2 linked regions of the Danio rerio genome follow. The protein of the gene in region 2 purifies or fractionates together with the protein of the main gene of each other region. This does not show direct contact. Links are inferred from orthologs where the notes say so. Each region holds a gene or a part of one and is shown on either strand. Other genes may lie near its edges.

What was found.
Region 1: the proteins of wrap53 (region 2) and cct4 purify together in Homo sapiens (co-immunoprecipitation; 3 studies listed by BioGRID and IntAct, with this or other methods). This does not show direct contact. The link is inferred for Danio rerio from reciprocal best matches to the Homo sapiens genes WRAP53 and CCT4.

The regions. Positions count from the first base shown.
Region 1 is NC_133176.1:57,153,725-57,157,563, reverse strand, and holds part of cct4 (T-complex protein 1 subunit delta), read left to right. Parts: intron 1-2,216; coding exon 2,217-2,481; intron 2,482-3,839. UniProt on the Homo sapiens protein: Component of the chaperonin-containing T-complex (TRiC), a molecular chaperone complex that assists the folding of actin, tubulin and other proteins upon ATP hydrolysis.
Region 2 is NC_133182.1:20,902,082-20,904,991, reverse strand, and holds part of wrap53 (telomerase Cajal body protein 1), read right to left. Parts: intron 2,349-2,910; coding exon 2,137-2,348; intron 1,787-2,136; coding exon 1,683-1,786; intron 1,601-1,682; coding exon 1,457-1,600; intron 1-1,456. UniProt on the Homo sapiens protein: RNA chaperone that plays a key role in telomere maintenance and RNA localization to Cajal bodies. Specifically recognizes and binds the Cajal body box (CAB box) present in both small Cajal body RNAs (scaRNAs) and telomerase RNA template component (TERC).

The sequences.
Region 1 (3,839 bases), on a different chromosome or scaffold from region 2:
AAATTAGTGACAATTTCCATTTAGAAGCATCGTATATACATCAAAAACTTGCACTTTTGGCTCGTTTCCACTAATGGCCCGTTTCCACTGACTGGTACAGTACGGGTCACCTTTAACAGGCTTGTGTTTCCACTACCAAGGGTACCCTTTTGGTGGGCTTGGTGTACGACAGAGTTTTAGTCGACGTCATTCTCACTTGAATAAATGAAATAAAGCTGCACAGCTCCACATATCATATGAGAAGCACTTCTCACAAGACAGATGCTTTATACACATAAATACTTGTTTATAAATGTTCATTACTAACTTTTCTATGAACATAATTTAATTATAACCGCAGCTCATTAACGAATCAGTGCGAAATAGCCTACTGTAATGTCTGCAATTATATAAAATAAAAAAATAAATGCTACATATGAACACGGACAGCCCCTTACATTCTCCCGATGTTACTAAATACAGAAAAACTACACACGGTATATAGTTAGTCCTTATTTAGGTTCATAAACAACAAGCAACATAGCCCACAGTCAGCACAAACCTCTCATCTGTGTCTGTAATCTTCAGCAGCACATGTAAACTCTGTTATAGAGTAATTCTGTCATTCAGAGATCATAATAGTCCAAAAGGCGATGATTAACATGGTAGTTTGTTCATGACTAAGGTTGCTGAAACAATTTGCTCCTGTGTGTTGTCGGGCTTCTCCTTTGTTCGCGCTTCACTTTCGCATTTGTACTTTTCTTTCTGAATGGATCAGATGATGGAGACACTTCAATAATCACGCACACGGTATTATCGTCAGCTCAAGAAGTTTGTTATATCAAATATAGACGCGAGCTCCTGGAGGAAAGCAAAAACCGCTCACACTTATAGACAGGCTCGCAAAACAACAACAGGACATGGCAGATTTTGTTCTTCTTGGCTTTGTGTCTGTACATCAAGACAACGACAAAGTTTGTTTGAGCTCGGGTCATCCATGGCTCTTTATTATATGCATATAGTTTTACAGTCTAATGTCTCGGCTGTGTATAAAAACATGGTTCCTTTGTTTTCATTCTGGCTAGCTCCACACGTATCTCTGTAACCAATTAGCTTTCAGCTGCGTGTGTAGCTCCCTTTTGGTACCCTTTCGAAAGGGTGCTGAAAAAGTGGTACAGTACGGTACGCCTTCTCACAGGGGAAACAACCATAAAAGCGTACCGAACTGTACCACTCAGTGGAAACGGGGCATAAATGCTATAGGCTGTTTCTTATAAAGGAGAGGAGCTACTTTAAGTCCCAATAGAATTGGTAATAGTGCTGGGCAAAGGTTAATCTTGATTAATCACATGCGAAATAAAAGACCGTTTTGAAATAATATATGTTTGTTTATTATGAATATTTATTATGTTATATTAACGCACAAAAGCAAAACTATATATACTATTTGAATTCAACAATGGTTAGTGTCTTAAAGCAGCTAATTTTGACATTAAATTGAATAATACTTCATTTATTTCTAAAAGTGTAAGAGTTTTTATAAAATCACAATCCAGAAAAAATTGCATTTTAATAAAACAAATTAAAGCACTACATTAAATAATTTAAATTTTTAATTCCAATCGGTTAGTAATTGTTAAATTTTGGATGAGATTTGCATGTAAACTTGGTTATAATGTAGGCGCACACACAGAAGTCATTCAAGCTCATTTATTTATTTTATTCTTAGCCCATCGAGTATATTTATTTACTTATGTAAATATATATTTATTCAGTTTTTATATTAATTTCAGTAATTTTATTAACTGATAGGCAGATATTTCTATGATTTATGTGCAATACAGTTTGTAAAGTCATATTTTCTGTCTTTTAGAAGGTGTATTGTATAAGAGACTTGCTTTGTTTACCAAATAAGTGGATATAATTGGATTTGATTTCTAATCCTTTTATAAAAGATATAATTTTTATTTAATGTTTTCAGTTACTGTGTTCCCAATATCCAATAGCCTACTGGTTAAGTGTGCCGACATATCAGGTCATGGTGATCCGAGTTTGATTCCCTGCTCGAGGTCTTATGCCTTCTACTGTTCTATCGAGTAAAGGTGGAAACCCCCTAAAAATTAAATAAAACAAAAATGATGCACAGAAATAACAAAAAATGTCTACAGATTCTGTCAAACCCTGACTATAAGGGTGTTTATGATAACAGAATGGACATGATCTGTTTTTCCTGGCAGGGATCCACCCGACCATCATTTCCGAGTCCTTCCAGAAGGCTGTGGATAAAGGTGTGGAGGTCCTGACATCCATCAGTACACCGCTGCTGCTCAGTGACCGCGAGAGTCTCCTGAACAGCGCCTCCACCTCGCTCTGCTCTAAGGTGGTGTCTCAGAACTCCAGTCTGCTTGCGCCTATGAGTGTAGATGCTGTCATGAAGGTCATCGATCCTGCTACCGCGACCAGCGTCGACCTCAGAGACATCAACGTGGTCAAGAAACTCGGGTGAGTTATAAATTATTTAGAGGGCTCTTATTGTACCCCTTTTACAAGATGCTTTTTGGTGTCTTGAGAATGTGAAGCTCAAAATACAATGCAGGATATGCCCAATTTGGCCTCAGAGCAGTGTAGCTGTTTTTGTAGCCTGTTCCTTTAAATGCAAATGAGCTGGTTTTCTCTGCCCACCAATCCCGCATGTCTGCTTCTACTGCGTTACGTCAGATAAACAGCAGTCAGTGACAGATGCAAACACGGATGAAGCAGAGATTCAGTTTATGAGTCAAAAATACCAAGTTTGGTTATTTGATGTATTTAAGGTGGTATTTATTCAATTCTGCAAGGACGAGTCGCACACATTTGCCATTACAAAGGTTGCAGTACTCGCACATACATGTTGACTAGAACTTTGCTCTCATATATTGTTGCTCCTCGTATATAGTTGTACTGTCACTATGTGACTTTGGAGATTCCTGCTGTTATGAATTACATAGTGATGTTTACTACAAACATACACTGTTTTAAAAATGCTTTAAAAGTGTAGACCTCTTTCCTGAGGTGCAGCTGATCACAGAGAGTTGGAACAGATCTTTTAATTCCAATTTCTTTGCAAATCCTGATCTGTGGACACTATGCATTACTATGAAGTGGTGCTGGGCGATTAATAGAAAAGTAACCGGATTTCAGACATTCAGAACCTATTGACCTTATTCTTCAATGCGGAAGTGCGCTCATTTTCGCGATTGTTTCAGAACTTCCGATTCAGTTACCTATGGGAGAAATGACTAGGAACAATAAACGGCTGAAAACGGTCAAACTACTTGCTCTATAAACAAGTGTTTGCATTATTAAACAGACAAAATAGAATAATATACTAAGAAACTATCAGTTTGAAACATAAAGCAGCAAAACTAGCTGTTTTTAACGTGTAAAAATGAATGGAAGTGAAGGAGACCGGAAGTCTCTAGCCAAAAAGATTCAAATGCCTGCGCCCGCTCGTGCACAGAGAATAAGGTGAATAATAGGATCTATATTTTGCAGGTTAATTTTTTTAATTGCACTCCTGCCGTGTGTGGAGTCACATGACCCTGCTTTGTCAAGGCTAATTAATAATTATGTTATGATTTATTCTTATTATATTCTGATATTTTACTTGTCAAGAACTCATCACACCACCTTGCGCCTCTCAAAAAACATAACTGCACGTCACAACGACATGTAGTACAAGCTTTGTGCTTGGTCGCTTTGGTAGCGGTGACGAGAGTGGGCAGTGCGGAGTGTGCGTTTTAGGCAATTTGTGTTTTAATTTGAAGTTGTTCATCATTGATGTTCATTAAATAATCATAGATAGTAGTGTGTGTTTCCTT
Region 2 (2,910 bases):
CGCTAAGATTTCATCTAAACCAGGGGTCACCAATGTTGGTCCTGGAGAGCCAGTGTCCCTACAGGCTTTAGCTCCAACTCTCCTTAACACACCTGCCTGGATGTTTTAAGTATACCTAGGAGGCACCTTGATTAGTTCATGTGTATTTCATTAGGGTTGAAACTAAAGCCTGCAGGGACACCGGCCCTTCAGGAACAAGTTTGGTGACCCCTGATCTAAACAGTCTTAATTTGTGTTGCTAAGATAAAGATCTCAGGGGACTGGAACAACATGAGGGTGAGTTACTAATGACAGAAGTTTCATTTTTGAGTGAACTAACCTTTTAAATGACGTTGATTTGAAAATATGGAGCACAGATTAGGTACCACAGTATGGACTAAGCCAGTGTTTCTCAACCACGTCCCTGGAGAACCACCAGTTCTGCACATTTTCCATGTCTCCTCAATCAAACACACCTGATTCAGATCAACAGCTCATTAGCAGAGACTAAAAGACCTGTAATGGGTGTGACAGACAATGATGGTCTTGCAGGAACGTGGTTTAGAAACACTGGACCTACAATAAGCAAACAACTGAATTGGCAATTGAAATACGATGAATCAGTATTATCAGATATTGCTTTGATTATATAAAAATATATACAATTTATTATTATAGTGGTTTATTACCATGTTCACATAATATATTTGAGTCCTTAAGGTTATTTACTTATTTAGTCAATTTATTCCGTACACTTGCTGGATATTCATGTTTAATTGCTTTTGTATATTCAATAAAAATGTTCTGTTCACCATAAATCTGTATGCTAATATGGAAATCGCAATGAAAAACACAATATGAAAATAAATAAATAAATAATAATTTTCAGTTTCAAATTTTTTAAATAGATAAAATAAAATAAATTTTTAATTGAAAAATTTTATATGAAAAAAATCTCTTTTTACAAAACATATTGAGAATCACAAAATATTTTGGTAACATTTATTTTGATGGTCCATTTAAGTATTGCTAGACTGTCTGCTTAATATACTGCTATTAAACAGACATTTAACTGACTATAATAAATTTTGCATATACGTCAACTTACATTAACCCTAACCCTAACTTTAACCCCAACCTAACAGTTATAATCTAACTAATAATCTAATTAACTACTTATACTCTAATGAGAATTAGTTGGAATTTAGATGCAATGTAGCTTAAATTCAACAAACCAACCGTCAAAACAAAGTGTGACCCAGATTTTTAATTTTTAGAGCATCAAATCAGAAGAATTTTGAAACCATGTAAAACTGAAAACTGGAGAGCCATAATAAAAAGGTGAATAATTCAAATCTATTTATAAAAACTGTAATATTTTTAAAGCAGTTTTTCTCTGAACTTATCATTCTACACCAGCTTAGATTTTTTTATTTTCTACATCTTCTAAACATTATTCAAATTATAATAACTGTACCTGATGCCATTAGTACAGTCGGTGTGTGCCTGAAACTGTAGCAGTGGCTTTAGTATCTCCTCATTCCCATCAGGCAGTGCTGTTAAGGTGTCCCACACTGACACCACCCCATCAGTGTCTCCGCTCAGTAGATACCGGCCGGATCTATATCAGACGCACATATATTAATATGCTGAGGCAACAGTAAAGTAGTTCAGTTAAGTCCAGTTGTAAATTAGAATCTTACTGGTCCAGGTCAAAGTAGATGCGCTGGTTTGTATTGACATTCCTCTGCATGGAAAACAAAACCTGTCCTGGATCTCTGAGGTCCCAACACAGGATCTCTGAATCCTGAAAGCAATGATATGAAAGTGATAGTCCATCCAAAACATAAAAATGATGTCATCCTTTACTTATCAGTATCTTTCTTCAGCAACAAAAAATAAGACATTTTGAAAAATGTTGGAAACCTGTAACCATTCCATAGTAATGAAAGTTAATAGTTACAAGTTTATAGCATTCTTTAAAATATCTTCTTTTGTGTTCAACCCAATAAAAAAACTCATGAAGGCTTGGAACCATTTGAGCGAGAGTAAATGGTGAGTGCATTTTAATATTTGAGTGAACCATCCTTTTAACTGCAGAATTCAAAATGCACAAGCTAATAACAGCTCTTCTGATTGGTCGATAAGTCCACTGACCTTACGCCCGCCAGTGTACAGGTGATAGCCATTGGGTGAGAACAGCAGGTGTGTAAGGCCTCCATGGTGTCGGGTGGGCAGCAGAGCCAGCAGAGAGCCATCATCACAAGAGTAAAGGCCGACTGAGCGCGAGTACGAGCCGCAGGCATACATGGAATGGCACTGACTGAAGGCAATGCAGGAAATAATGCCAGTCTGACCCCGTTTCTTGACTTCAGAAGATACAAAATGAAGAGAAAAAAACAGTAACATTATTCATCATCAGTTATGATGAGGGTATTCATCATCAGTTTGGTTTACTATTAAAGGATAATAAAGAAACACAAGAAATGAGAAAGGTTCAGATGAAACAGGACCTCTAATTAAAGGAAGGTCTAGAACTCAGTAACCATGACTGTTGTTTTAATGAATCCCTTTCATAGCATGAGACATCAGCATAAGAGTACAGAACAGCCCTTTTAGCATTATTCTAAACATTGTCTATGCATCTGTATTATGTGCCGCACAATAAAAAAATACATTTTTGAGTCATGAATAAATTAGTTTTTTGTGGTTTTGGCAGGAAATTGATGCATTTCCATTAGGCATATTTTCATTGCAGTTCCTTTTTGTGCAATTTTAATGGTAGTGGAAATGCAGCTATAAACAACCTATGAAGTTGGGAAAAGTCTTACAGGTGCAGTATGTAAGTTTGAGACCCAGTGGTTGAACTAGGTATTGCATTCCTGGATCAAAACAAATGCAAGTACAGGTTGCCAGATTAAGAACCAACAG